Mus musculus: one gene and its partners. The main gene of each other region encodes a partner of the protein of the gene in region 2 in a complex. Links are inferred from orthologs where the notes say so. Each region holds a gene or a part of one and is shown on either strand. Other genes may lie near its edges. The genes, in order: B9d1, Tmem231, B9d2, Tmem107 and Tmem67.

Region 1 (6,255 bases), on a different chromosome or scaffold from region 2:
TCTGCTACTCTAAATGACAGGTAAGGCCTGGAAGTTGGCTCTGTAATTACTGTTGAACGGCCTCAGACAAGTCCAACCTTTTCTCTCATGACCTTTCTTGTGTCTAAAAGCCTTGGAATAGTACCAACCACAGGGGGTGCTCAGTAAAGGATGAAGAAATCTGTGCCTTCCACACTATTACTCTGCCACCAAAGGTAACCTGGGAGTTACTCAGATAGATAGTTCCTGTATAGTGGCTTGTTCATTCTCGGTGCCAAATATCTGACCACCACCGTATACTGCAGTTAACTGTGATTGTGGGCACATGAGCTGTTCCTTTGAGAACTGTTGCAGTAAGTCTCAGATCAGTCACTCACGGGCTCTTGTCACACTGTGTGCTCTTCTCTGTTGGGTATGTGCTTAGAAAGACTCAGGCAGGCAGGTACAGTACTACAGTACACTCAGTGTTCTCTGAACTGCCTTGAGACTACAGGCTTGCTAACCTTGGCAGATCAACCTTAGCCTGCCCTGGTTGATCTCCATTGTTCTGCTTGCTTTGCAAGGACGCAGATTAGAAACCGAGGGGCTATAGGGGAAAGCTTCACCCAGAACACGAGCAGAAGGCTCAGAAGTGGGCCCTGAGCAACTAGTACAGGATGAGCCGATACTGGAGCTGACTGGAGCACTACAATGGGAAGCTGGACAACTTGGGGTCAGGCCACGTGGCTGCAGCATTGCAGGCTCCATGTGCAAACTGCACTTAACAAAAAAGGCAGATGTTGAGTGCATCAAAAGCTGGGGCACAAACTCAGACACTGGCAGGGCAGCCTAAAGAAGGAGAGTGGTGGCAGATGCGGCAGAAGATCTCCCCCTTCCAGCATGGCCCACAGACTCACAGCCATAGGGGTTGGTACTTTTAAAGGTCACATCGATGGGGAAGTTCCACACCAGTGCTTGCCGTACATCTTGGCTCTTAGATGCTATCTGTGAGATCCCCTCCTCCAGACCCTGAATAGACATAGATATAGAGATAGCTGGTTTGAGTTCCAGGAACCCATGACCTTTCTGTCTAAGTAGGCAAGTTGGGGAGGTCACTTAAGTTCTATGTTGCTTCTTTCCACTCTCCCTTTAAATATTTATCCACAATGCCTTGGTCTAGATTCTTCCCTCCCAGTTAGTCATACACTCTAGCTCCTGATCCACTCCCTCTTCATTCCACCCATCTTTGGCTAACAGACCAGAATGTATCCAACTTAGTGTCTCCTTAACAAGAACAGATGTCTCTACAAGATGGGGGCTTCTGTCAGACATTGGTCACTCCCAGAGGACTCAAATAGTCATGAAGTTACAGATGGTTGTGAGCCACAATGTGGGTGCTGAGAATCAAACTGGGGCCCTCTGCAAAAGTACCCATTCTAACTGTTCAGTCATTTCTCCAGCCCCAAAGGCAGCTTACAACATCCTATAATTACAGCTCTAGGGGATCTGACCTGTGGCCTCAATAGCCACTTGCATTCATACCCATACACAGATATATACACACACATAATTTAAAATGGAATTAATCTCTAATATATATTGAAAGCATTAGAAAAACCAAAAAATATTAACATGTCCGTGATACAAATGAAGAAACTTGGGCTCAAAGAAGTCGGGCTTTAATTTTATTTTTTCCATTTGTTTGGTATTATATATGTAGCCCAGCTTGACCTTGAATTCCTAGAGATGCTCCTGCCTCAGCCTTCTGTGCTGGATTACAGGCATATGCTATCCTGTTTGGCTTCCACTTTTTAAACTATTGTATAGTATCATAGTGGTCTGCACTGCAGCCGCTTCCTGTGGTAAAAAGACTCCTTAAAACCTTAAGAAGAGATCCTTCATTTTGTCCTGGCTCCTGGTTGTTTTCTGCTGCCTGAGAAGGGGCCATGTTTTGTTTTCAGGTGGGGGTATTGGCTGATGCTGTCCAAAGCCACTGGCAGGTGGTTCTCCAGAGCCTGCCTGGTTAGGCTGCTACTTGTCCCTCTCAGCTGCCACTAACAGACTCCAGGGGTACACCAGCGAACCCAGTAGTGACTGTATTCTATAAACTAGCTTTCCCCCAAAAACAAATGCAATGTTTAGGTCATCTCTGACCTTAGTGTCTACCTCTTGGTCTCGAATAGAAGGGTATGATTCAGGAATCACCAAAGCTCTAACCAGAGGAGGCCCATGAGTCCAACTTACCGCTGTTGGGGCCCAGTCCTGGCCATACACAAAGCAGTACTTGCAGTAGAGGTCATCATACTCTGGAAACTGAGAGAAAAAGTATACAGGATTCTGTCTAGAAAGGGCAAACTGGGCCCACACATTAGCTAGGCAGATGCAGTGGACAGGAATTAGGAACACGAGGCATCTGGGACTGAGGAGGTGGACATGGGTTTCAGGGCGGGCAGGGAATGGAAATCAGGAAGTCAGGCTTAGTCCCAGACTGCCAATACCCGTAGGTTATTTTGCTCAGGGTCTACTTTCTGTCTTGTCTTTCTCAGTCCACATGTGGTAGGCCCCTTGCCCATCTTTCAGAGTTCCCCTTCAGTCTCTAGCTGGCTTAAGGATCATTGCTTGGCTCCCTTCACTTCTCTGCATTTCTGCATGTGGGTACCTAATGTCTATCTGATAACCCTGTTAGACTGAAGAAGGAACAGGTTTCATGCCTCAGCGCATCTCCAGTGCTGGGCACAAATTAGCTCTACAGAAATGATGCTCACGTGAAACCCAGAAGCTACAGGGCCAAAGAACATGGCTAAAACTGAGGGTCCCGGAGAAAGGAAGGCCCAGGGCAGACGCCAAGGAAGGTGTCCAGAGTAAGCAGCCCAGACATCCTCTAATCGGATAGAGGAAAACAGGGAGGACGCAGTACCAATGAATGGGAAGGCAGGAACACCTACTGAGCTTCAGACTTGGCAGAACCTAAAGCATGTCAGCCAAACCTCAGAATATGTAGGAATAATGGGCATTTTCAACAAGCAGCCCAGAAGAATAATGTAGCAAAGTTCTGTCTCTTAGACGGACCGGGTCAAATCCCACCTTGGCCACTGCCTTCCGGTAAGTTCCCAGCTGTTAAATGGATCAGCTGAGTCTTCAGTCCCATTAGTCCTAGGCCACCACTCAACCAAGTAAACAGGATCCAAGTGGTACCAGCTGAACGCCTCGAGGTCTGTTTTCACTCAAGCTTGTCCGGTTCATCTACCTGGAGCCAAGGTTCTCAAATGCTGCTTCTCCTTTCCATTTATTTGAGATGCTCAGAGCATCTTGGCTTTCTAGGAGCTGAGCGAAGAGCCCGGGGAGAGAAACAGGCCGTCCCCGGGCGGAGTCCACGACTGCTTACCTGTGCGCTCTCTACCTGCCCGGTGATCATGAGCAGGAAGACGCTGGGACTTGCTGCAGCCATTGCACTGATGGGCCGGGAGACCGGCGCAGGCCGCGCGCTGTTGCCAGGAGGCTCTCGGTTGTCTTGGAAACAGACGGTAAGTCGTCTAGGACAAATTTCTCAAGCGGTGACGAGTTCGCTCAAAGGTAAGAGTGCGCAGGCGCAGTAGTCTTTATGGCTTTGGGCACTGTCCTCCGTGTCTGTCGCGCGGAACCTAACCCCCAGGGGCGGGTCCACGGACCCGCACTGTGTGACTTCACTCGTCTGGCCATGCTTGAAGCTCGCAGGCTGCAAAGCTGGATGTTGAGAAGAAGCAGCACCGGCACTCAGGCCCGCGGAAAGTCACGTGCTAGAGTTACCTCTCTCCAGGTGGTGTCGCTGTTGCCACACACAGCGACGGCAAAGACGCCATCGTTGGAAGGCTTGGTGCGCGGGAGTGGTCCAGCGGGCATCACCCAGCACATTGTCTCAGGTGAAGAATGCGCCCTTCAGCCCTATGAGGCTCTTGTCATCGAAACCCGGAGACTCCATTTGTCCAAGTCCCGCGTCCTGCATGAGAAGCTGGAGCCCACGGAACCAGTCACCCAATTTTGGAAAATCACTGGTAGCTCAGGGATGTCAGAGCTTGGTCCCAAGCCACCAGCATCCTTTTCGGTAGACACCATTGTTAGTGCTTGGATTCAACTGCACTTACTCTATCACTGTCCAATTCAAGGTGGCTTAATGCGAGCTTCTTGCCTTTAGATCCCCAGCTCGACTCTAGGGGCATTGAATGCCTGGTCCTCATTGCCCGGCCAGTGCAAAATATTTGGGAACTACTTCTTTAATAAATAAAATTGAACACATCTCAGTTTTCTGGAGGGCGTGACTGAAATCCAGACCTGGAAGGTAATTTAGCCATATTCGTTACAGGAATTTAGCTGCAGAATCAGACTTCACTTTCAGAGCTTATAAGGAAACATCAAAGAGCACATTAATGATGAGGGAGCCTGGAAACAAACGGATGCAGATGTGTATACTTTAGGGAGCTCAGCCTGCAGTAATGACACCAGGTCACGCTAACTGTTAGCTTGGAAGTCAGTTGGCGGGATTCCCAAAGCCACCTATGGGGAAGAGGAAAGGCATGTGGTCACAGCGTTCTAGGTGGGCCGAGGTGCAAGCATGTAAGAAATTCTTTTAGCTTAGAGCCAAGAGTCATACAAGCAGAGGCTCTAGGCCCCTCTCTCCTAGCCGGTGGCTGCCACTTGCTGTTCTTTACTGAAAGCGTTGGAAAGATACAGGCTACTGAAAGGAAGCCTTCTCAATCCCCAAATTACTCATTAGATAAGGCTTTTCTGTCCTAAACCAACAGGATGAGACATTTAGGAAGAGGTCTGTGCTGGCTAGTTTTTTTGTCAATTTGGCACAAGCCATAGTTATCTGAGAGGAGGGAACCAAGATTGAGAAAGCCTCCATGTGATTGGGCTTGTAAGCCTGTTGAACATTTTCTTAATTAGTGATTGGTGGAGAAGGGCCAGGCCCACTGTGGATGGTGCTACCCTAGGCTGGTGATCCTGAGTTCTATGAGAAAACAAACCTGGGGATGATTTCAGTCACTGGTACCTGTACTCTCTCAGGCCTTTTCTGTCCTGTAGGAGAATGTTCCCATCTAGTTACTAAAGGCATCCATAGCAGGAGATACCGTATGCTCCTGGTTTGGGCATATGAGTGAAGCCATAAGTCTTCATCAAGGAACCCTCATTTTATAAAATGTTTCATTCTCCTTATCACTGCAGAGGTAAGATAATGAAAAGCATCCCCAGGCTCTCACCCAGCAGCTGTAGAGTGCTCGAGGACCCTGGTAGATGTTCTGGTGAGTTTTATGTCAATTTGACAAAAGCTAGGGTCATCAGAGAGACAGGAGTCTCAGTTAAGAAAATGCCTCCTGGGGGCTGGTGAGATGGCTCAGTGGGTAAGAGCACCTGACTGCTCTTCCGAAGGTCTGAAGTTCAAATCCCAGCAACCACATGGTGGCTCACAACCACCCATAATGAGATCTGATGCCCTCTTCTGGTGTGTCTGAAGACAGCTACAGTGTACTTACATGTAATAAATAAATAAATAAATAAATAAAAGTGTGTGTGCACCACCAATATCTGGCTGATATTGTTTAAAAAAAAAAAAGAAAAAAGAAAATGCCTCCTTAAGATTGGGCTGTAGGTGAGCCTGTGGGGCATTTTCCTAATTACTGATTGATGTGGGAGGGCCCAGCCCACTGTGAGCTGAGTCCATTCCAAGGCTGATGATTCTAACTTCAGTAAAAAGCAGCAGATCCCTTCACCCCATGGCCTCTTCATCAGTTCCTGCCTCTATGTCCGGCCCTGTTAGAGATCCTATCCTGACTTCCTTTGTTGATGAACCATGATGGGAGTGTAAGCTGAATAAATCTTTCTTTCTCAACTTGCTTTGGTCATTGTGTTTCATCACAGCAATAGTAACTAAGACAAGTTGGTACCAGGAGAGTGGGGCATGGCTGACAGACCTGACCATGTTGTTTTCGGGAGGACTGTGGAGAGACTTTGGAGCTTTGGGTTTGAAGAGCCATTGAGCGTTGAGAGCTCAGTGAGCTGGTCTGTAGGAAGATAAGAACGTTGAGAGCAGTTCAGATGATGGAGGCCTGGCTTGTGACGTTCCAGAGGGAAGCAAAGACTCCACTGGGCCTTCTGTGTGCAGAATCTGTGGTGTCTGGTCAGCTGGGCTGAAGAATCGGCTGTGATTGACAAGAGACCAGACACGCTGAAGTGAAACCTTTGCTTGGCTGGGACAATGGATGCTGCTCAGCTGGAGATAAATTAGCCGTGACTAAGAAGAGACCAGCGTCACTGAGGTGG
Region 2 (6,102 bases):
AACCAATCAGCCAACTAAAAACAAACAAACAAATAAAAAACTGTCTTAAAGTAAAACTAGAACTAATTTTTGTTTGTTTGTTTGTTTTGTTTTGTTTTTTTTCGAGACAGGGTTTCTCTGTGTAGCCCTGGCTGTCCTGGAACTCACTTTGTAGACCAGGCTGGCCTTGAACTCAGAAATCTGCCTGCCTCTACCTCCCAAGTGCTGGGATTAAAGGAGTGCGCCACCACCACCCAGCAAAACTAGAGCTAATTTTGTTTAAGGTTTTTGTTTGTTTGTTTTTTACATTTGATCTTAGCCAAAAGGCCGAGAAGCGATAGGTTTTGTTTGTTTTCACCTTTGGAAAGAAAACACATGAAGTGTGGATCTTAAGAAGCTCAGTGAGTGAGTACACAGGGAAGGGCAGGTCCACCTCTACCCTGGCCCCTCACCCAATCACTCTTCTCTAGAGGCCTTAGAGCGGAGTTTCTCAACCTATGGATCTCAAGTTCTTTGGGGAGGTGGGGAGCTGAAGGACCCTTTCACAGAGGCTGCATATCAGTTACATTACAATTCATAAAAGTAGCAAAATTACAGTTATGAAGTAGCAATGAAATAATTTTTTAGTTGTGGTCACGACAGCATAAGGAACTGTGTTAAAGGATGGAAGCACTAGGAAGGCTCTATTGCATTAGAGGCTTGAGAATAAAAATGGGGCCAGGTGTGGCCGGCCTTGCTTGTAATCTTCGTAGTTAGTAAGAGAAGGATCACCAGATCCATATGGGCAACCTGGCCCATAGCTGGACTTCATTACAAAGCCCTGTCTTAGGGATAAATAAATTAATAAATGGAGCTGGAGAGCTGGCTTAGCAGTTCAGAGCACTGGCGGTTCCTCTAGAGGATCCTGGTTTAATTCCCAGGGCCCATAGGGCAGTTTACAACTGTCTATAACTCCAGTTCCAGGGGATCCGAGGCACCAGGCATCACATAGTATACATATATGTGCATGTAGGCAAAGTACCCACACACAGAGAATAAAATAAGCAAAGCAGCAAGGTAAGTACATAAATAGTAAAAGCAGGCGTGGTGGCTCACAACTGCAGTCTCAGCGCTGAGCAGGCACAGGCTGGAAGACCGAAACACAAAGTCTTTAAGGTCATCCTAGGCTACAAAACCAAGCCATCCTGGATGACATGACATGCAGTCTCAAGAAACTAAAAGGGTATGTGTTGGTGGCCTGGGGGAAGAGTCTTGACCATCTGAAGAATAAAAGAGTGCAATGATGTTAAAACAAAACAAAACTTCCAAAGCAAAAACTTTTGCATTAGTTACCTAATGAGAGTGTGTTAGAAGCCCTCCCCAGGCTGGGTGGCTGGCGGTAGTAGCAGAGGGGAGGGAGAGGTTGACAAATCTCTGAGTTCGAGGCCAACCTGGTCAACAGAGCAAGTTATTTGACAGCCAGCGCTACACAGAGAAACCCTGTTCTAACAAATAGAAAGAAACGCTTTCCAGATGTTTAAATAAGATTTGCCGAGTCTCCACCTCTTTCATGAGAATCCTCTACTGACATTCCACGGGGGAAGCTGGAGCCTGCGCTCCCCTCCCACTCCCACCAGGCCCCATCGCACCTCCCCCTCTCTCATCCCTTCAGTTTCCCTAGGTGCGCATTTTGCTTAGTCAGCCTTTCATGTCGTAACTAAGACTACTACGCAAGTCCGGTTCGCAACCTTGACTGCGCATCCTTCCTAGCGTCTTCTCGTGGCTTATTTCCTTGCAGTTAACAATTACTTTACTTGCTTGCTTTGTTTTCTCTAAGTGCATGAAATTTCAACAAAACGCTTCCACTGGCATTCAGACGTGCATGACTTAAGTCTGGGCCTCACGTCTGTAGTCCCAGCTTCGTAGCTGGCTGAACTGGGCTTACAGCTTGGGCAGGCAACATAGCAATAACCCATCTCAAAAAGAATAAAAAAGCTGTAGGATTTAGTTAAAGCTTTGTTTATTCACTTACTAATTTTAATAGTAAAACGATTGGAGCAAATTAAAAAAAAAAAAAATCAAGGATGGGTAATGAGATAGCTCAGCAGGTAAAGACTCCTGCAGCCAACCCTGGGAATCCAAGCTGGATTCCCGGGACAGTGACAGGAGGGAACTGACCCCTCCAAGTTGTCTTTTGACTTTACATGCCAGCGCTACGCTTTTGAGACTGAATAGCCCTGAGCTTGCTGTATAGGTCAGGGAAGGGGGGGGGCAATCCTGCCTCAGGTGGAGGTTAGAAACAAAATATTTACTAACAAACACCTAGTTAAAGTCATCACTCTGCCCATGTCATTATATGAACGGCAAGGGATGACCGTAAGGAAGCACTTGATTTATGCGAAAGTAAACACTAAACTGCAGCCAGTAAAATGTTTCCCTTACACAGGAGACAGCTGCAGTGTGGCAAAGAGTTGAGAAGCCTAACCCAGACAGGCGTGGCTTGGCTAGAGCAGGACCTGAGAATTCAACCAATCACCGCTTGCCCCGCCCTACCCCGCATCAAGTCTGCATAAAAACACTGGTACTTTCTGTCTTTACAGCTTGGTGATGTTCAAACTCAGCAGCGTACTGGGGTGTACAGAACTCCGCCTACAAGCCCTCAAAGGGGTTTTTTCTTCAGCCACCTTTCCATTCAGAAAATGACCAGCACCAGAAACAGGCTCTGGACTCTTGTTGTCCGGCAAACACAGTGCCTGCACGGCTGCCTTTCTAGGGAAACCTGGAGAAACTGAATAAAACTATCTAGAAAGTTAAGCATGCGCAGGCCAAAGGGACTTTTGTTTCCAACCCTCGTGGCTCCTTAAGATCCAAGCTGTGGGACTGAGAGTGGCTCAGTGGTTAAGTCCTTGCATGCAAGCACAAAGCCTTGGGTTTGATTCCCAGCACCCCATATACCCCAGCAGGGCGTTGCATAGCGAATCCCCGGCACTGGGAAGGTGAAGGCCGAGTATCAGTTGTTGAAAGACGACTTTGGCTATATAGTTTAAGGCAAGCCTGGGATACACGAGACTCTGCTCTCACACCCGGTCAAATGACCCAAACTGGGATCTCACTCCATCCTATCACCCCCAGGATCCGGGCGGGAACCACGCACCGACACGAGCGGGACGCGCAGGTGAGCCCCCTGCAGCCGGTTGAAGGTGGGGAACGTGCTCCAGGCGAGGAAGGCTTCAGGCTCCGGCCCCAGGAGAGCCACGAGCAGCACTTGGTGCTGGAAGCGCACGTTCGGCTGCTCCTCGTAGCTGCTCCGCTTCAGCCAAAACCCTGCGGGAGACAAGGCGGGTTGGGGGGAGCCAGGTTAGGATTGCCGGCCTGGGCCCGCCGGCCGCGCCGTGTGGCCCTCCAGGCCCGGGCAGGCTCACCGTGGCTCCGGAAGGCCACCAGCAGCGGGGGGATGTAGGTGAGCGCGGTGGTCAACAGCAGGAAGAGCGCGGCCTTGGAGCAGAGCCCCGCGCGGTAAGCGCGCTCGATTGGGTGAGAGAAGAGATGGTACAGCGCCATGAGCGCAGGGCCGCAGCGCCGAGTCTCCACGGCAACCGACGGCGGGCAGAGGAACCAATAGCAGGCATGCAGGCCTCTAGAAGGGGGTGGAGCTAGCAGGAGGAGGGTCCTGTGTTAGTGCTGTGCCTGCGCGTCTCTTCAAGAAGGCAACTGTATGGGCTGGTGAGATGGCTCAGCCGGTAAGAGCGCTGACTGCTCTTCCAAAGGTCCTGAGTCAAATCCCAGCAACCACATGGTGGCTCACAACCATCCATAATGAGATCTGACGCCCTCTTCCGGAATGTCTGAAGACAGCTACAGTGGTGTACTTACATATAATAAATAAATCTTAAAAAAAAAAAAAAGAAAGCAACTGTAATGATATTTTCACTCACCAAAGTCTGTGTCAATTGTACAAAATCAGACGTGCATAGATGTTGACATCACCCCATAGATCATCTATTAACTCATGACATAAGGATGGTTGATGTAGCTTAGTTGGTAGAGGGCTAGCCTACTATACAGGAAGCCCTGAGTTCATCTCCAGCACTTCATTAAACCAGGCACCTTGGCCCACATCTGTAACACTAACAACTCTTCAGGTGAAGACAGAAGGATCAGAAGTCCAAGGTCATCTTTAGCTACATTGTGAGTTTGAGACCAGCCAGAGATACTGGAGACTTTGTTTCAATGCAAAAACTCCATTGAGGTTCATACTGAAGTCGGGACATTCCTATAACAAGGCCACCGTCCTAGAACCAGGTACTTTTGTCTTCAAGGTTAATGCTTTCACTATGCCCCATAGCAGGAAAGATAGAAAACAGGAAACAAACCCCCTGATTATTTAAAGGTTAGAACAAAAACAAAAAATAAAAGGCCGGGCGTAGTGGTGCACGCCTTTAATCCCAGCACTCAGGAGGCAGAGGCAGGCGGATTTCTGAGTTTGAGGCCAGCCTGGTCTACAAAGTGAGTTTCAGAACAGCCGGGGCTACACAGAGAAACCCTGTCTCGGAAAAAAAAAAAAAAAAAAAAAGGTTAAAGGGTATTTTACTAAATGGCTCCTTCTGTTGTACTTTGTTAGCTATAAACACTGATACTGTCTTCCCCAAAGTTAGCATTAGCTGATCACTTAGGTAAATACTAACACCAATATCTTAACATGGAAGACAGATTTTTACCTGTTTGGAAGTAGGGTCTTACTATGTAGCCTGTGCTGGCCCTCAATTCTCCTTTCTCCAGGTCCTCTGCAAGAACAATCGGTGCTCTTAACAATTGGGTCATCTCTCCAGCTCCCACCATCTATCTTAATTCTGGAAAGGCTGTCCTCTGACCTCTACATGCCTGTCATGGTGCTCATCTGCATCTATGCACAAATAATGAATAAGTAAATGTAGTGTAACATGTAAGTAAGCTGGAGAGGCCGGTTTTCCAGAGGATCAAGGTTTGACTTTCAGCACCCACACAGGGGCTCAGAGCCAACTGTAACTCCAGTCCTAGGGGATCCAACAGCTTCTGTGGGCACTGCAGACACATGGTCCATAGACACACACGCAGGCAAAACACCCAAACACATGTAGTTAAAATAAAGGTGTTGGCACACAGCTTTGATCCCAGTGTTTAGGAGACAGAGGCAGTCAGATCTCTGAGTTCTAGGCCAGCCTGGTCTACAGAGTGACTTCCAGGACAGCCAAGGCTACAATGAAAAACCTTGTCTCAAAAAATAAATAATAATAATAATAGGAAATATAAATGTATTTTTAAATTAAAAAATAAAAACTGTGCTTAAATAACCGTTTTGGAATGGCTGAATGTAATGTAGATTCTTTGTGGTGGTTGTTCTCTGAGTAAGAGAATGTTTGCCTCCAAAGAGTCGACAGAAGGAAACATACACTGTCGCTAAGTCACCGGTGAGACAGGGAGGTGACTGTTACGAATTTAGAAGTATAAAATGGTTTAGCCTTAGCTGGGTGTGGTGGTGTATACCTTTATTCCCAGCACTGGGGAGGCAGAAGCAGAGACAGAGGGAGGTGGATTTCTGTGAGTCCCAGACCAACCCAATCTACATTGTGTTCTCCTGTCCCTGAAGTTTGCCTCAAAAGATGATAAAGTCATTTCCTTCCAACTATGTATTTCAGATGGGAGTAGGGGGTTCATACCTGAAATCCTAGTGTTTTGAAGGCTGAGACAGGAGGATCAGGTGTTTAAGGCCAAGCTTGGCTACAAAGCAAGCCTGAGGCCAGCCTGGGCTACATGAAACTAGCACAACCATCCAAGCCAGGCTGGTTCAGTAGGAAAGAACACTGGCAGCATAAACAGGAGCTCAGGAAAAAGCCAGATCAGGATGTGTGTGCCTGTAATTTCAGGATGGCTGGGGCTTTTGGTGACTGCTAGACTAGCTCCAGATTCAATAAGAAACCCTGTCTCAGAGGAATAAATGATGTGTGGTAGGGAGAGACCCCTGATATCCTACTGTGACCATCACATCTATACACGTGGGCACAGGCATCCACATACATGAATGTATAAACCACAAGCATAGGAATTCAAGTCCAGTCTTGGCTATATTGTCCTGGGATACACACACGAGACCTTGGTCATAAACAA
Region 3 (6,178 bases), on a different chromosome or scaffold from region 2:
GCCTGGTGGGGCCAATGAGGCTAGAACGGGGAGTCGTGGGGAACAAAGGACAGAGGTGACAGCCAGATTCCATAGGCCTGTGACGCCAGAGAAGGCTCCGGCTTTTCTCTTGAGCGATAGGAGGCCTGCAGGCAGGTTCCATACAGAGGAAGAACATGCTGTATTTAGGTCCTCCCAGGGTCCAGTCCAGTATCCAACCCTGAGAGCACAGTGAAGACAGAAAGAAAGAATGGTCCCAGAAGGCTGGGCGTGGTGGCACACGCCTTTTATCCCAGCACTTGGGAGGCAGAGGCAGGCAGATTTCTGAGTTTGAGGCCAGCCTGGTCTATAGAGTGAGTTCCAGGACAGCCAGGGCTATACAGAGAAACCCTGTCTTGAAAAACAAAACAAAACAAAACAAAACAAAAAACAAAAAATGGTCCCGGAAAGAGAAGATGGACAGAGAAGGCTGGGTGGGATGGGGTGAGAAACAAAAGTGGGTTTCAGAGCCGCCAGGGTTTGTTGGTGAGCTGAGAGACTAAGAAGGAAGCAAACAGGGAGGAAGACAGCTAAGGCCAGGACTGAGGAAAACTTCCAACGTATCACCCTCACAAACTAGTACAATTGTTCAGAAGGAGAATCTGATCCATCCATTTCTTCTTGGGCTCCCCAGAGCCTTCGAGAATCAGTCTTAGTGCCTTTGCAGGCGAGGCCTTACATTCTGTCCCTGCCGCCTCATCCCCCACTGTCCTTCTCACCCACAGACAGCGAATACCCAGGACACACCTCCCCATTTCTACCTGGCTCCAGCTCTCTGACTCCACCCTCTGTCTTTGTCCTTGGGCCTAGTTAGCTTCTCTTGGCCCTTTACAGCAGAACTCTAACTGCTCTGCCCTATAAGGCCATGGGACCAATCAGAGATGACTTCTGTGTTTCCAGGGCCTCTGTGCTGGCCACATTTGGAAACAGGTCTATCTTCTACCTATAATGGAACCCTTGATGACAGGGCTTGGAGGGTCCTTCTTAGTTGGGGATGTCCCTGCTCAAGCTGGACAGACGTAGGCTCAGTCAACAGTCCTCATTCCCAGAATCTGCTGTGTTTTAACCAGAAAAGCTGCACTGACATGATACCCTCCTCCTCCCTCGAAGACTCACTTCCCCTTTGAGCAGAACCTCTGCCTGTGTGAGCAACGGCAACTGGCCCATTTCCTGTCCCTCTCCTCCCTATCTATCTCTCTTTACCCTATGCAGCCTCCTCAGTGGCCGTTAGTCAAAGGCCCCTCCCACTTGACCCCCACTTCCTGATATCTTCTCTACCCCAACCTCCGGCACATTCCACAGGCCTAGGGTTCTGAATAGCTCGGGTGAGGCCTCAAATGCACTGCTCTAGGGGAGGCTGTACCAGAAAAGGGACCCACAAAGTACAGGGAGCAGACAGCCATGGTGTTCCAAGCCCAGCTCCTCTTAGTTTGACTGCCCCTCCCCATCCTGTCATCCTGTACCCACCTTGGAGACCTTTAGTAGCGAAGTGCAGGTCAATGGGGTGGGACCAGTAAGCCATGTCCCCTATCTGGGGTGTGTCTACCTGTGTCTGGCCTTCTCGTACACCTGAGAGGAGCTTCCATGCGGCCCCTGTAATGAGAACCAGGACATCAGGGTTTGGGGGATAGCAACCTTCAAGAAGGGGACCTGCCGTGGCAATGAGTTTGTTCCCTCTGGTATCTGGGAGTGGGAGTTACACAGTGTAGACTCTAGAGCCAAGTGTCTGGATCCAGATCTTGGCACTGGCAGTGTACATCTGAAATCTCAGCACTTGGGAGTTTGTTTGGGGCTTTCTTGGGCTGCCTGATGAGTGTCAGGTCAGCATGGGCTACAATGTGGGTCTCAGTCTCTAAAGAAAAATTGGAGGGGTTGAAGAGCACGTGAGAGAGAATAAAGCCAGGCAGTGGTGGTGCACACAGTTGGTCTTAGCCCTGGGGAGGCAGAGGCAGGCTGATCTCTGTGACTTCAAAGCCAGCCTGGTCTACAGAAGGAGTTCCCAGGGCTGCCAGGGCTACACAGAGAATCCCGTGTAGAAATCCTGGCACGATTCATATATGTGTTCTGTATTTTGCAGTGTTAGGGATGGAACCTAGAGCAGTACATATGCAAGAGCTCTCTAGCAACAGTCTACACTCCCCAGCCCAAGTTGATGCAACCCTGGCAGAGTAGCTTCTCTCTGTTTCCCTGTCTATAAAACAAGCGACAAAAAACACAATCTCACAAGTTATGAGAGGACTCACATAGCAAGGATGAACTATGAATTTTTAAAATATTATTCACTTGTTAATCCTCATGACTGCAGCTGGCGATGTGATCCAGAGGCACACGCTCTATGCTCTGCTGATGAGCTGCACTCTCAGCACCAACAGAGAGCCTCCTTTCTTAAGACAAGGTCTCATATAGCCAAGGCTAGCCTCAAACCTCTGTCGTAGCTAAGGATGACCTACGCTCCCCGGGTGACGAGATCCCCAGCATTTTCCTTCCTCTATGCACCCCACATTCAGAAGCCTCCGTCAAAGACCAAGAAGAGACTGGGCACCATCTGCGAGCACATCACAACCCCAGTGAGGAGCAAGGAGAAGCAGTGCCCACATACTGAGCACTACACCCCAGATGCTCTGCTAAACGCTCTGGGCAATGCCTTCACCTTATCTGCTCTCTGGGATTCTAACTGCCCCCTCCCAACACACACACACACACACACACACACACACACACACACACACACACACACGAAGCTTTCAGACTCCTCACTGTTGCCACGAAGGCCCATGTGTGACCTGGATCCTGTCACTCATCTGCCACTGCCGCTCCCCACCCTCAAGCCTCACTGGTCCCATCCTGTTCCCTTGCCTCAAGGCCTTGGCAGCGGCTGTTCCTTTTGCCCTGAAACGTCTGCTACTGGGTGCCCATTTCCGGCTGTTTTCCTCCTGCCCCCCAATTCAAGTGCCACTTGCACAGAAAGGCTTTCTCTGATCTCAGACCTCCACATCCCAAATCAGCCCCCAGCACATCACTTTCTTTTTTTCCCTAGAACTTACAATAATCTTGTATATATTTTGTGCTCTTTTCTTTGAGACAGGGCCCCAAACTTGTAATAGAAGGCTTCCTAGGTGCTGGAATTACAGATATGCATAAGCACACCTAGTTTGTCTACTGGCCTGAGGACAGGAAGTGTGTGTGTGTGTGTGTGTGTGTGTGTGTGTGTGTGCGCGCGTGTTTTCTATGTCACAGCCCCATATGCTTAGGGGCTATGTTTTCCGATGGTGAGATAACATGAAAGACAAGGATAAAGAGAAGCAAACAGTATGAGTTCATTGGAGAATCGAGGAAGGAACATGGAGACTTAGGCTAGGGGAGGGAGCTGGGTATTGTTTGGGAGATGAACAAGGTGTGAGGAGGATACCTGTGTGGATGCCCCACTTGCAAAAGAGGCTGCTTTCCGAGAAACCGGTGGCCCCTATGATCTGCCCGATCACGTGCACTTCAGCCATGGCTCTAGGAAAGGAAAAATTCAATCACAACCCTGTGAGGTAACTGTATTATTTCCATCTGACAGCTGGGAAAACTGAAGCCTATCACATAAAGAACAGCACTGTGATTCTAAGCTAGTTCCACCAACCCACTGACAATGTGGCCTTCATCACAGATACAAGCCACGTCCCCAGAAAAGCCCAAGAAAAATGGGGAAGTCTCCCAGAGGTGTGGGAACCTGCACCAATAAATAAACCAAGGCTCAGACGCTTAGAAAGCCCCGCCCCAGGGTTGTGGCCCCGCCCACATGTGCAAGGCCCCGCCCCTTCGCGGCAGATCAGCCAAGCTTCAAAAGGCGCATGCGTCTCGTCTCGGGTGTAGGGCCGCTTTACCCTTGCCCGTAGGCGTAGCGCATGCGTCATTCCTACCTCCGCGTACTTGACCGTTAGAAGTGAAAGCTGCCTCGGGGATGGTAGTTCACGGGCTTCTTTGCGGGCGCCGTCGAGACTAGTCTCGCTCCCCTCCCGGGCCCTTCCAGGCGGAGGGAGATCTGAGGTAGATAGATCCGCAGCCTCGCTCTCCTGGGGTGCCCCGACTGTTGCTGGGGCAACAGCAGGTTCCTCCCCTGAGCCCGCCCTGCGTGCTGATGATTGGTGCTATAGCTGCCCTCTGGGGGGCGGGGCGTAGTCGTGATGGACGCGGTCATTCGGGACTTTTTTGCGAGAATTGCATAGGTCTTGCTCCTGCGACGCCTTACGCCCCAGAGTGGGAGGCCTGGCGGGTTATCTCTATCAGCAGTTGAGGAAGTTAGAACGCCAACTGTTTCCTCTCCATATCTTCTTCACGCAATAAGCAAATCTATTGATGCTCTTTGCTTCCTCAAAACAAAACACCTTTCCTGTTCAGGATCACAGCCAGAATGGAGCCAGCCGACACTAAACGGGCACCTAAAGGGACTCCCATAGTAGTCATCTCTATGTTGTAGCTGGAGGGGAAAAAAGGACCTCCATATTCTGACACTAGAGAAATTGGGAAGTGGGTTTCTCTTCAGTTTTCAGAGCTTCCTCAGATTTCTCAAGGACTGAGAAGTCCAAGTTCTTTCTCAGAGTCACTGCAAAGTTCATTCTAGCAGCTGGTTTTGAACAAACAGGTTGGAGTAAAGATAAATGAGGAAGACGGGGCTGGAGAGATGGTGCAACAAGAGCGCTTGCCTCACTTCCAGAGAACTGGAGTTCGGTTCCCAGCATTCTGTAACTCCAGCTCCAACTCTGCCCTCTTCTGGCGTCCCAGAGGACACTTCCCACCCTCAACCCCTGCCCCGCGCACAGGTGGCATACACAAATAATAAAAATAAATCCTACAAAAGGAAGGAAGAAGCCCCTTTGGCAGGAAGTCAGGGAAGAAAGCCTCTCTCCTTTATATATATATATTTTTTTCCCAAGTCGGAAACAAATTTTAAAAATTTTATGATGAGTATTGTGGCTCATGAGAGACTGAGGCAGGAGGAATGCTGCAAATTTAAAGCCAGCCTGGGCTATTAAGTGAGTTCCAGGCCAATCCCCCTTAAACAAACAAACTAAAACTAAAACAAGAACTTAAGTCGTGTGTGTGTGTGTGTGTGTGTGTGTGGTGTGTTCAGGTGTATGGGTGGTTGTTTGTATGGTGCATATGTAGAGGCCAGAAGATAGCTCGTCTGTGTGGTGTGTGTGTGTGTGTGTGTGTGTGTGTGTGTGTGTGTGTGGTGTGTTCAGGTGTATGGGTGGTTGTTTGTATGGTGCATATGTAGAGGCCAGAAGCTAGCTCACCAACCTCCAAGGTTGTCCCTAGAAGCTATCCACTTTTTTTTCCTTCCAATTTTCAGGATATGTGTTACCAACACTAACACCACTGTTTTTGTGTGCTTGCTTTTTAAACATCTGTTGTTTGCACTGGTGTTTTTCACGTATATCTGAGCACCAGGTGCATGCAGTGCCTGCCAAGGCTACAGGAGAGTATCTGGCGTTCTGGAGAGTGCATTGCAGGCAGTAGTGACCACCCAGGACACACGGTAAGAATGGAACTTGAGACCTATGCGAGAGCACACTATGCTCTTGCCAACTGAGCCATTTCTCCAGGCCATACAGTATTTGTTGTATTGACTTATTTAATTCAGTAATTCTGTCATGCAGGCTCATCCACATTGTAAGTGTGTGTCCGAATTTCCCTCCTTTGGAGTGTCACAGTGCATTCAGTGTAACTAGAGCCCACACTTTATTCAGGTATTCACTGGAAATGGGAGTCTAGAACCACGTGGTTGCCATGGTGTTCTCCATGGCAGCTGGAATAGGGCTTCACACCTTGCTTTCTTCTGCCACTGACTCATTTTAGGAACAGAAGGATCTGAACCACCTTCTTCAAGAACATCACTTTGTAAGTATTAGGTACAGAAAAGTGCACACACAGTAAGCGAACGTCTCGGTGGATTTCATAAACCGAATATACCTGATGCCCAAAGAAAACAAGGCACAGGTTATGGATAGGCTGTGTACCTGCTCACTCCTCATGGAAACATTCCAGGGAGGACAAAGAACCCCTAGGAATCAGGAAGTACGCTGGAGAGGGAGCTTGGTTGTTAAGATGTTTGCTTCTCTTCCAGAGGACCTGAGGTCACTTTGCAGCATCCATGTCCTGTGGCTTACAACTA
Region 4 (6,255 bases), on a different chromosome or scaffold from region 2:
TTCAGCTCTCTTACATTCACTGCTTCGTAAAGGTATTTTGAGACAGCTGGTGGTGGTGAACGCCATTAATCCCAGGACTTGGGAGGCAGAGGCAGGGGGATTACTGAGTTCAAGGCCAGCCTGGTCTACATACAGAGTGAGTTCCAGGACAGCCAGGGCTACACAAAGAAACCACCCTGTCTCTGGGGGTGGGGGTGGGGAGGTGTTTTGAGAGATTTGCCTACAAAAAGGAGCAGACTTTCTGGGGTCAAAGGGGCCTGTACTTCACAATCCAGGTAACAGAGGGTGATGCTAAGCATTCAGCAGACAGAACTGTTTCAAGCCTGCAGCTGCTTGGGGAACTTCTCAGGCTGTGCTCAGCCTCCATCCCGAGCTGCTCCACCCTCTTCACAGCATTGCTCAAGAGCTGGGCCAACTTGTCCATCCCTACAAGGGGCAGTAATTCCTATTGTTTTGTTGGCGAAAGGGTACTTACTACTCAGCCCTGGCTGGCTGGAAACGCACTTCGTAGACCAGGCTGGCCTTGAAGTTGTGGCCCGCCTGCTTCTGTCTACTGAGTGCTGGTATTGTGGGCATGATCACCATTCCTGGCTGCTTTAAGTTTGTGACACTGAGGATTTCACTCAGGGCCTCAAGGCATAGCAAGTATGCACTTACCAGTGAGCTAGCTGTATCTTCAGTGTAAATATAACCTACTTAATTGCAAGTTCACACTGTTTAATTTAAGTAAGAGTTCGGTTTGGCAACCTGTCAGTAAGGCTCCTGGAAAAAGAAATGTTTTCCAAGTTCAGTAAGACAAATGCAAGGGTGTGGGTGTGGGCTTCTCCCAGAGCTGTACTTAAGTTTCTCAGCAATAGCTGAGACATATGTAACATTTTGGTGACTCTGAAACTTATTTTTTTTAAGCATGTACCACAGTTTACAGGATTAAATAAGTCTGGGAGTACTGTAAAACTTTTTTGTCTCTGTATGCCAAAGCTGAGTATAGGTCATATCACATCTATTTTCTCAGTACTGTTAACAGGGCTTTGCCTATGGTAAGGAGATCATTAAATTGAATGTGGGGAAGAAGACAAGAGATGCTTTAGGTAATAGTTAAGGAATTATCAGAAAGCACCTCCTGGCAAGCATAAGGAGTGGCCATGGGTGCTTTCCAGGAGCTGGGCAAACAACCAACAGCCACCTTGATGGCATTGTTTACCATAGAAGTGAAGACCTTAAAACTATGACTGGCCAGTTTAGGACAAATTATAAACAGCACACAGTCTGGCTGTAAAGGTCTACCAATCAGCACATTGGAAAAGTGTGATCGCCAGGGAATCAGATAGGAGCAACCAGGATGTTGTCAGGTCCTGATTGCATGGAAATGCTAATCAGCAGATCATGCAAGCTCCAATCATCATTTTCTACTGCCCTCCGAAAGGAGGAACAGGTAAGGATTAACCTCCTGACGATAAAAGGCAGAGGGAGCCCATTGCTAAATAAGTAGAGACATTTCCTATTAAAGGAAGGGTGAGAATACGTCACTTTAGCACGAGCCCAGTGACTTACAGTTCTTGCAACGCAAGAATAATATCTATTTGCAAGTCGTTTGAAGTATTTTATTCTCCATTCGGCACAAAAAGGGAGAAACAAAACCATCCCAGAATGCTCCCCTCACACGCGGCAAATTAGAAGCGCTATGTGAGATAGTTATTTGCATATCCCCGCCCACTCACTTCCGCCTAGCTTCTAGCGTAAAAACCCAAATAGAAGCATTACTTCTAGCCCTAACCACAAGATAAAAGCCTTTATTTATACCAGCCTCTTGGCCCATCCAATGGTCTTCTGAAAAATAGTATACGCCTTGCTCTTGTTATAAAATAAATTTTATTACAAAACTCTAATAAAATTATAATCCAAGATTTGAGAGATCTTATTCCAACACTGCCATCCTCTGCTTAGCCGCAGTTGGGAGGAGCAAGGGACTTGGGCGAGAGAAAACTGAAGCCTCTGCCTTTTTCTTGCAGCAGTGGGAGGAAGCTTCATCACTTTTCCAGCCTTGGTCCCTACACCCGGATTGTGATCAGAAGGGTTTCTTTTTCAGCCCAAAGACAGCGATGAATAATGCAGTTTCAGTGACAGCTGGGAAGGCGCTGTGAAAAGTACGGGGCCGCGGGGGAGGGGGGGGAGTTAGAGCCCCTTCCAACCCAAACACTTGAACCTCCAAACCTTATATGCGGGTGGGTTAGGGTGGGTATGACTCTTCAAAACTCTACCAATTTCACATGTGCAGGAAAGGTCTAGGTGGGGGAAACCTTCAGATTTGGGATCGATTTTCCACCACCCCCCCCCATTCCAAAATATTGGGTGCTAGGGCACCTGCAGAAGGTAAAAATGTACCAGTACGTGGTACATTCCCATCGCTCGAATACGAAGAAAGACAGGGCCACAGACGCGCTACAGTGGGCTGCAATGGCTTAACAATACAGAGGGGGTCAAGGAAAGTAATCGGTTCGTGATGGGCCCCGTTGGTACCTGGACTTGGGTTCAGCTTGTACCCTTCCCTTAAGACAAGCGCCAGAGTTGGCAGCCAATGCCTTCTGAATTTATGGACAGTTATGTGTAAGAGACCAGAGCTGAGTTTGCTTTGATAGGACCTCTCCCTGTACACTCTGTACACTTCTGGGAAGGTTAATGTCATATATGCCCTAGGCCACACAAGAATACCTACAGATCTGATACACTGGGGATTTCTCCAGTGCCCTGGTCTTCCTTGTCCACAATTCAAGAGTAAAGAGCTACCTTTTTAAAAACACAAACAAACAAACAAAACAAAACAAGCCAGGCAGTGGTGGTGCATGCCTTTAATCCAGCACTTGGGAGGCAGAGGCAGGTGGATTTCGGAGTTCGAGGCCAGCCTGGTCTACTGAGTTCCAGGACAGCCTAGGTCTACATAGAGAAACCCTGTCTTAGATAACCTAAATATATAAGTAAAATAAGATTTAAAAAAACCCAAAAAATTCACCTGCCCCTGCCTCCCGTGCACTAGGATTAAAGGCTTGCAGAACCACACCTGGGCTCTATTTTCTTGGTCCCTTCTGAGTTCCCATAGTGCTTTGTATTTTACACACACCTACAAGCATACTGTTTAATCACACTGATTTACAGATGTTTGTCTGCCACCTCTTCAAACGGGATAAAATGATTTTACTCCCATCCAGGGATCGCCAGAACCTGGCTCACATCCGGATTTAACGAATGTTTGAAGTCTATTAATTCCCCAACAGTGTCTAAAACCTCTCACCTAGAGAGAGATTCGGTTTACCATGTAGAGCAGACACTTGTGCCCCAAAGGCCTACAGAGGTGGAAAGAGTGGTAACTGGGATGAGTCACCTGAGGACGATGGCCAAATAAAAAGGATACAGAGGAGGCTCTGGGTGCTATTGAACATGGAGACTCCTGAGAGGAAGCCAGCCAGCTCCACTGCAAAGAGGCCCAGGGTGAGACAGAGCGCGGCTACCAGCCTGCAGAGAGAAAAGGGCTTGGACCAAGGTTTCTGGATTCTGTTGAAGACCCCTGCACTCTCACCCCGCCCCAAGAGCTCACTGGTTGTCCTGCTTTTCGTATTCCTCCGGGGTGAATTTGAGAGGCAGGCAAGCCTGGATGTTGCTTTCCTGGCGAGCCGGGCAGAAAGAAAGAAATGTCAAAAGAGGAATGGGGCTGCGGGGACAAGTTGGGAAGGGGCCGGGGAACGGAGCAACGAACGGACCCTGTGTGAGTGGACTGAGCTGAGCTGGGTCCACTCCAAGATGAGAATGGGAGGGCCAGGAGGGCACGCGCACGCGCGCCCTGTCCGCGTCTTACCCGGGACCAGAACAACGTGATGACAACCACCAGATGAGCCAAGAGCGTCAGGAACCGAGAGGGCACGAGCCCGGAGATCCGACCCATGGCCTCGGGGGCCTCGAGTGGAGGCCGTGGGTTTTGAGGTTGGAAGTCTGGGGTGGGTCACTCATCAAGTCTCCCTGAGCAAGCAGGCCAGACCTCTCTACTTAAGTGTCCTTCCCGCGCGCTCGGGCGCCGCCCGGCTGCCATGGTAACTGCGTCCGCAAGCGCCACGCTGCTGCTTTCGGAAGTCTCGCGATAGTGCTGCTCCCTCTACCAACGTCTATAGGCGCGGTACGTGAGCCGTTGATGGACCCAAGAGGATGCAGCCAGAACCACCAAATCCTCCCTTCTCCTGTGCTTCCCACTCACTGCCTTGGGCGCTAGGAGTCGAGGGGACGAACGAGGAGAGGCTGATGCACCGAGCTTGTCCCAGGGTCAGGCTAAGTCCCCTAGCCCCTGGTTGTCAGAGGACTCCCCCTTCCGCCCTAGAGCAAAACTTTGCCGAAGAATGACTCTAATTTCTTCCTAAATAACTTGTCTCCGTGTCATGAGAGATTTGCCGAGTGCAGAAATGAGCAGCCTTGGGATGGTTAAAATTGGATGTGGGTGAGGTGACTGCCTCGGGAACCGAGGGGATCTGAAAGGGTGAAGAATGGAGCGGGGGACTGGAACTGCTTGCGCTTAGCCTAGGCTGGGACGCTGACCCACCACCGATTTCACTCTTGCTCTGAGTTGTTAGGCCCCGGACATTGCTCAGTTACAGACCAAGAACCTCTTCTTAGGGTGATGTGACCGATTTGGGGCTTCGGATGAAATCCCTGCAGATCGGAGAATCGGAAAGTTCTCAGCACTTTCCAGTTCACAATCAAGTCCCATGTCAATGGACCTCCCATCCCACTTGCACTCTCTGGTCCCTCCATTCCTTTTTCTTTGTGCCTCTAAACCAGCCCAAAAGACAAGGCTCAGGACCAGAGGGATTTCATCTATTCAACAAATATTTGATGTCTCCCAGATGCCAGGCACTGTGCCCCAAATCTGAGAGTACCTCGATAAAGTCCCTCCAGGTTATATTCTAGGTGGGGAGATTGATAACAGCCAAAACAAGAACAAAACCCAGCGAGGTAATGCGTGCTATAATTTTTTTAAATTAAAAGATAATACTAGAATAATATCAAAGGGAAGCTTTGAAAATAGATACTTCTTAAATTTTTGTTTCAAGGAATTGGCAGAGAGAGAGAGGAAGGAGGTGGAGGAGGAGGAGGAGGAGGAGGAGGAGGAAGAAGAAGAAGAAGAAGAAGAAGAAGAAGAAGAAATGATTCTGTCTCCCTAAAGTAATACATGGGGTTCCCTTTCCTAAGCCAGTTAAAGGTCATGAAAGACAGACTGGAGGTCTTCTAAATGAACGGGGGGTAGGGGGGTGTCTAACTGAACCTGAGATCCCAAACCAGGCAAAAGAATTGCCCCCCCCTCGCCCCCTTTTATTATAAAAGACTGAGGTGAGATGCTTGGCAAGTTTTGTATAGGGTTTGTAACTTAAACAACAGCATTGTAATCATGTAATTTCCTGATTTTTTTTTTCAGTATTGGAGATAAGCTCCAGGCCTCTTACATATAGGTAGGTAAGCACCCTCCACTGAGCCATCCTCCCATCTTCCCTTCTGAGACCCTATAGTATTATCAACGCAGAGAATGGCATTCTAAAACACAAAGAATAATCTATAGCATTGAATGTCCTTATATATTCAGCTCCTACTTATTGAAGCTTCTGCCTGTGGGCTGCACTGGGGATCAAACACAGGGTATGGACCACGCTAAATGATTACTTTACTACTGAGCTCCACTCAAGCTCCTATATGGTGAAACTATAACTTTTTCATATAAAATTGAGTCTTAAGCTGGATAGGGGGAAACACCTATAGTCCCAGCATTTGGGAGGTGGGGGAAAGAGGTTTAGAAATTCAAGGTCATGCTAGGTTATATAGTCAGCTCAATAAAAGGAAAAAACTAAAATGTCTCTACAAAAAAAAATGTAGAAATGGCTTAGTGATTAATCCTTGCACCAGGTGTTAATCCTAGCACTCAGGAGGCAGAGGCAGACAGATCTCTGTGAGTTCAAGGCCAGCCTGGTCTACAAAGCAGGACAGCCAAGGCTACACAGAAACCCTCTGTTGAAAGAAAGAGCACAGAATACTCTTGTTAAATTCAGTTCCCAGCACTCGTATGGTGCTGCTTACAACTTCTTGTATCTCCAGATCCAGTGCCCTCTTCTGGAAACTACACACACACACACACACACACACACACTCAACACACACATGCACACACACTCACACATACACTCATACTCACACTTAACACACCACACACAATCACACTCAACACAC
Region 5 (5,514 bases), on a different chromosome or scaffold from region 2:
CACACACACACACACACACGCACACACACACCACACACACACACCCACGCACACACCCACACACACACCACACACACACACACACACGCACACACACACACACACACGCACACACACACACACACACACACACACACGCACACACACACGCACACACACACACACACGCACACACCCACACACACACACCACACACACGCACACACACCACACACACACACACACACACGCACACACCCACACACACACCACACACGCACGCACGCACGCACGCGCGCACACACACACACACACACACACACACACACACACACACACACACACACACACACAGCTGTTACCTTTTAACTTGCTAAGCACAATTTCTGGGTGTAGATACCTCCCACCTGGAAAGGCATGCCCTTACCGATTTATTATCTCCGTTTCTCCTCCCGCCCTAATCTTAGTGGCTTGTTCTACCTAGTCCCTGACAAAAATCTTTGGCAATCTGCCCATAGCAGAGGCCACAGGCCCTAGCTGCTCAGAGACCTTACATGATTGCTGCCTTCTTCTCATTCCAAAGCATGGCAGAAAAGCCCCCTGGCTCCTTCTGTACTTCCCTGTGGCTCCTTTCCCTCTTGGGACCCAGAAGTCCCACCTGTACCTTATGCCCAGCAATTGACTCCCAGCCTTCTTTATTGACAAATCAAGAACCAATTAGGGAACTAGACCTTAGTATCAGAATCTCCCCTTACAATTAGACCCGCTTTTGAACAGGCAAAGGAACTCACAGATATTTGAGGGATATCCTTAGAATAGACAGAAAGGCTTTCTTTCTTATTGGTCTAAAGGCAACGTGGGAACACAGGATGAGGTTAGGCGGTGGCAAGATTGCCAGTTACTGTCCTAGCCACCTTCTCCTTTCTTCTTAGCCACAGACCTGTACTATGGTCAGGACACACTGATGCCCAGTTGAAGGGCATCAGCACAGTTAGGTATGGCCATAGGAATGACTCCTAGCCAAGAAGATACTTAGTGGTACTTCACAAAAGCTCTTTGGTGTTTTGTTTTTTGTTCTTTTGGTTTGTTTGAAAATTTTTACTTCTTTTAAGTGTGTGTGCATCTGCTGGTGAGCATGTATATGTGCATGTGCATGCAGGTGTCTACAGGGGCCAGAGAGGCCATCGATCCTCTAGAAACTGCAGTTCTGGTTCTCTGTAGGAGTACCAAGGTGAGTCTAGCTAGCTTAAATCACCAACTTAATATGACCCAGAATTTGGGGACTCCCCAGGTCAGATTGGCCTGTGGGCATGTCTGCTGGGGACTGCCCTGATTATTAACTGATGTAGGAGAGCCCAGTTACCTCTGGGCAGCACCATTCTCTGGGTAGGTGGTCTTGTGCTGTATGAGAAACTTAGTCATGCATGAGTTCACGGGCAGGCCAGCAAGCAGCCCTGCAATACAGGGAGGCTTCAAGTTCCTGCTGGATTTTCTGCCCTTACATCTCTCTGTGATCATCTGTGACCTGGGAGTATAAGTCCAACAAATCTTTTGTCCCCTAAGCTGTTTTTGTCATTGGTGTATGTCACAGCCACAAAGTCGAAATGGAATGTGCTCTTAACCACCGAGTCATTTCTCCTGCCCCAAGACTTACACAAAAAGGGAGAGGAAAAAACTAGACTCCCATTTAATTCCCTTCTATCCATCGGCCGTTAGCCCAGGAGATGGACTCGGGGCTGGAGGCTCCACATGGCAGAGAGCAGGCTCCTTGGCCCTGATGACAACAGCAAGCTGACACTATGGCTTCTGCTCTTTCACAAGAATGTGGAAGGGGAAGGAAATATTTCTTGTTACATTTAATGAAATGGGAAATGCTTCAGATGGAATTCCATGAAATTCCCTCCAATGATACTATTTTAAATTCAGATGCAGTAGCCATGTTCACAAAACACAGTGGACTGTGCACAATACTTCCAAACATCAAACTCACACTCATCAAAGGGTCTTATTTCAAATTCTATTGTATGCGTGTCCTCTCTCCTGGTATTAAGTTTACTAGTTTTCACTAGCTCCAGTCCTGTAGCTTCAAGTTTGAACAGTATCACCAATGCTCAAAAAATGTACATTCCAAAAATCAGTTCTCAGGATGGGGGAAAAGTCCACCCTCAGGTTGTGGAATGCCACATGAATCCAATCCAAAGGAAAATGATAATTTAAACAAACAGGTAAAGAAAATTCTATATAAAAAATATAAACAAGAGAAAGAAAATATAGTGCACATCTGCCCTGGATCTGAGTTTCTAAAAAGAGGCCACAAGTGATAAAAAATGAACTCTGACCCCAAACTGCCTGGGTTCAAATTCCAGTTTTGCCATTCCCATGTGTGTGACCTTTAGCAACTTGTCAACTCTCCAGAGCCTCCTGTCTCCTGTCTTGTCACAGGAGGATGCTGACTAACCTGTCTATGCACAGTAGTTAGCGTGTATAAAGCAGTTACTGATTCGCACATGCCTGGATCATGATACAATCAGCACAGAGAGCTCTATGACTGCTTTGTGCCTTCTTTCTGTGTGAAACTCAGCACCTGAGAGACACAGGAACACAAGCAGGGTTCCAAACTGGCAATGCCGTCTACCTGTATTATTCCAATCACCAGCCAGATAGCAGTAGCCACGGCATATCTCAGAATGCGGCTGTAAGGAGCTGTGTAGTCTGATGGGTTTCTAGAAAGGCTGGAGGATGAATCCATTAACGCTAAATTTTTGAATCCCACAACCTGAGGGAAAAGGAAAAATGAGAATTTAAACAGACATAGGAAGAGAAGTTTCTAGATGGAAAATGAAATACGTTTCTCTACCTACCTGCCTTGAAAAACAAGCTTAGGAGCCGTAGGAAACTTAGACACAAACCAAACCTAAATCTACCAATAAATTAAACAAACAAGTAGCAATTCATGAGTATTTAACACATACCAGACACTATGCTAAATACTTTCTGTATTTCAAAACAATATATTCCAAAATGCCTTCCAAGAAATGTACCTTCTGGATGAAATGAAGCTGTAGTTAAATAACTTTGGTGAGTATACTACATTGACTGCCATGCTTCATCCCCATGTAAAATAAAACAAAGAGCTTAAAAAATTTTACAGTAAGGTTCCCATAAACCTTTATTTATGTGTTTTGCAAAGTTAACCGTAGAATCATGTAGAACCTTTTCAAGTTCACCAAATATTCAAATTTTATTACTTATTTATTTAAAGCTGGGTCTCCTTAGCCTAGGCTAGGCTATTTTAGAACTTGCTATGTGCCTTTGTTTTTAGTGTCACACTGGAAACACTGACACAAAGGTGAACACATTGTTGTCACTGACTAGTGAGGAACAGAAGTGCTGCTGTTAACAATCTCTACCTTGAAAAGTGGCCTGTAATTAGCAACTGTGACATCTTGCAAGCTTGTATCATCTCATAATATTACGTGTCATGGTCTGAAAGTAAATCCCAGAAAGCATGTGTTAGAAAGGAGCCCTCAACGTAACAGTGTTAAAGTGAGAGAGGGTTAAGACAGGAGGACTCCACCCTCAGGAGTGGAACACTGGGCATAGTAAAAGAGGCTTGGGCCAGCAAGGTGTAGACCTTGAATTCTTGACTCTCTTCTGCTTCTCCCTTCAGAGACTTGGGGGTTACAATCTTGTAATACTATACCTGACTTCATCAAACAGTATTAAAACAAAACAAAACACTGCTTACCGAAAAGATAAGTATGTGAAGCAAGAGACATGTTGATTGGCCATTCTAAAATATATGTGTACATTCTACAACATATATGTATACTGACAAATCATGCTGTATACTATAAACACATTACCTGTGTGGAGGGATATGCTGGAGAGTAAACCTAGGGCCTCCTGGATGCTGAGTATGCTTTATTACTGAGCTATCTCCTGCACAGCATGCCCCACTTCCCATAACTATTTGGAGACAAGGTCTTACTAAATTGTCCAGACTAGCCTTGAACTTATTCTCAAGGCCAGACAAGAGCTTGAACTTGTGACACTTTCACCTCAAATTCCCAAGTAGAAAATGTACAATAGTGTAGAAATAGTACAATAGTCCCAAGGCAGGGGTGAGAATATGGATCCTATAGTAGGGAAGGCTTTGATAATATATAGAGGGGATCACCTGAAAGATACTACAACTGATCTGTAATGATAAGCAACACAGGTATTTTACACAAGTTCACTAGCAATTCTGCCACAGATCACTGGTACTCTGGCTTTAGGAGGCACAAAGTAGAATGGTGGTACCCAGGGCTGCAGGGAAGGGAAATGGGGGCTTCTAAACTGTTGCATAGGCACAACGAGCTTGGGTTGTAAGACAGAGCTCTGGAGGCAGATGTGGTGAGAATTTGTTGCAATGTGGATATACCTATAGCACTGACCTCCGCATTTAAAAGTGGTTCTGATGGGCAACTTTCTAAGGCCCCATCACATCGTATTTAAGTTTTGCTTTTTTTTTTTTTGTTTTATAGGAAGGACAAAGGGGGAATGTTAAGGACACTTCCTTATACTGTTTTGCCAACAATACTTTACCACAGAAAACTGCTGCGCTGTCTGAGAAATTACTTGAGATGATAATAACACTTATGCAGTGTTAATAAGCAGCATCATATGATTATATGATAGCTCATACATACCTCCAAGAAGAAGAGTGTGGTAAGCACTTGAAAGAGTGGATTAATTTTTCTCACAGTCTGAATCTCATTCCATTCATTTGCCACGAAATACGTTCTCCATATGCTCACAGGAACAGTGGCACTCCGCACACCACCCTCACCTGGGAGGGGAGATCACGTGAGTACAGCACTTTCCCTTTGCGCTGCAGGCAGCAAGAGAATTATGGCACAAACACCAATTTCAGTTACCTTCAACAGCTTTAAGAACTTTTCCTTTCGGCCGTTCCCAATCAATAAAGAATATATCTATGGAAATCTGGGATATGAACTTATGTAAAAACTGGAGAGCCTAAAAGTAACATACAACAAAACACTTGAAAAGAATCATCACTCAAGAGCAATTATAAAGCTACATACTCTTTACAAAGCAAGTATAATCACAAGGGCACATCATATACCAAGCCACACACCTATTAATTCGCCTTCTTTTTTTTCCCCCCTTAAAATAGGAACATGAGAAAAGAGGAGATATCCTCCCTCCCCCTCTCCTACAGGACCCTTGCATAAATGACTCCCTTCCTCTAGGCTCTGCACATTGTCTGACTTCTTTATACAAAGGTAAGCTGCAAAGCCCCGTAGAAGCAGTAGATACCCCTGCTGTCTTTCCTGTCTCTGGAACTGAGCTAGAAAGCCGTGTGTTGTTGGAACATCTTTCTCTCAGTTACAGGAACGGTCCATCTACACCGAGTTCTCATCCTGGGTGCATTGTTGACCAAGTACAGGATGGTAACTCTGCAGAAGAGTTCCTCTCTCAGTGGCTAAAGCAGAGACTTCACGTCCAAAAGACAATGGGATGTGGCTA

The links.
Region 1: Tmem231 (region 2) and B9d1 share a complex: the UniProt entries of both Homo sapiens proteins name them as parts of the tectonic-like complex. The link is inferred for Mus musculus from reciprocal best matches to the Homo sapiens genes TMEM231 and B9D1.
Region 3: Tmem231 (region 2) and B9d2 share a complex: the UniProt entries of both Homo sapiens proteins name them as parts of the tectonic-like complex. The link is inferred for Mus musculus from reciprocal best matches to the Homo sapiens genes TMEM231 and B9D2.
Region 4: Tmem231 (region 2) and Tmem107 share a complex: the UniProt entries of both Homo sapiens proteins name them as parts of the tectonic-like complex. The link is inferred for Mus musculus from reciprocal best matches to the Homo sapiens genes TMEM231 and TMEM107.
Region 5: Tmem231 (region 2) and Tmem67 share a complex: the UniProt entries of both Homo sapiens proteins name them as parts of the tectonic-like complex. The link is inferred for Mus musculus from reciprocal best matches to the Homo sapiens genes TMEM231 and TMEM67.

What each region holds. Positions count from the first base shown.
Region 1 is NC_000077.6:61,502,360-61,508,614, reverse strand, and holds the start of B9d1 (B9 domain-containing protein 1 isoform 1 precursor), read right to left. Parts: upstream 3,472-6,255; 5' UTR 3,407-3,471; coding exon 3,344-3,406; exon of another isoform or gene 3,043-3,343; intron 2,272-3,042; coding exon 2,203-2,271; intron 988-2,202; coding exon 876-987; intron 1-875. UniProt on the Homo sapiens protein: Component of the tectonic-like complex, a complex localized at the transition zone of primary cilia and acting as a barrier that prevents diffusion of transmembrane proteins between the cilia and plasma membranes.
Region 2 is NC_000074.6:111,930,248-111,936,349, forward strand, and holds the start of Tmem231 (transmembrane protein 231), read right to left. Parts: upstream 3,567-6,102; 5' UTR 3,520-3,566; coding exon 3,381-3,519; intron 3,283-3,380; coding exon 3,113-3,282; intron 1-3,112. UniProt on the Homo sapiens protein: Transmembrane component of the tectonic-like complex, a complex localized at the transition zone of primary cilia and acting as a barrier that prevents diffusion of transmembrane proteins between the cilia and plasma membranes.
Region 3 is NC_000073.6:25,678,724-25,684,901, reverse strand, and holds the start of B9d2 (B9 domain-containing protein 2), read right to left. Parts: upstream 4,123-6,178; 5' UTR 3,924-4,122; intron 3,745-3,923; exon of another isoform or gene 3,520-3,744; 5' UTR 3,516-3,519; coding exon 3,428-3,515; intron 1,612-3,427; coding exon 1,486-1,611; intron 1-1,485. UniProt on the Homo sapiens protein: Component of the tectonic-like complex, a complex localized at the transition zone of primary cilia and acting as a barrier that prevents diffusion of transmembrane proteins between the cilia and plasma membranes.
Region 4 is NC_000077.6:69,068,626-69,074,880, reverse strand, and holds Tmem107 (transmembrane protein 107), read right to left. Parts: upstream 4,073-6,255; 5' UTR 3,935-4,072; coding exon 3,848-3,934; intron 3,658-3,847; coding exon 3,590-3,657; intron 3,508-3,589; coding exon 3,407-3,507; intron 2,459-3,406; coding exon 2,362-2,458; coding exon of another isoform or gene 2,283-2,361; exon of another isoform or gene 2,136-2,282; coding exon 2,066-2,135; 3' UTR 1,588-2,065; downstream 1-1,587. UniProt on the Homo sapiens protein: Plays a role in cilia formation and embryonic patterning. Requires for normal Sonic hedgehog (Shh) signaling in the neural tube and acts in combination with GLI2 and GLI3 to pattern ventral and intermediate neuronal cell types.
Region 5 is NC_000070.6:12,048,774-12,054,287, forward strand, and holds part of Tmem67 (meckelin precursor), read right to left. Parts: exon of another isoform or gene 5,374-5,514; intron 5,271-5,373; exon of another isoform or gene 5,002-5,270; coding exon 4,902-5,001; exon of another isoform or gene 4,814-4,901; coding exon 4,674-4,813; exon of another isoform or gene 4,509-4,673; intron 2,756-4,508; coding exon 2,615-2,755; intron 1-2,614. UniProt on the Homo sapiens protein: Required for ciliary structure and function. Part of the tectonic-like complex which is required for tissue-specific ciliogenesis and may regulate ciliary membrane composition.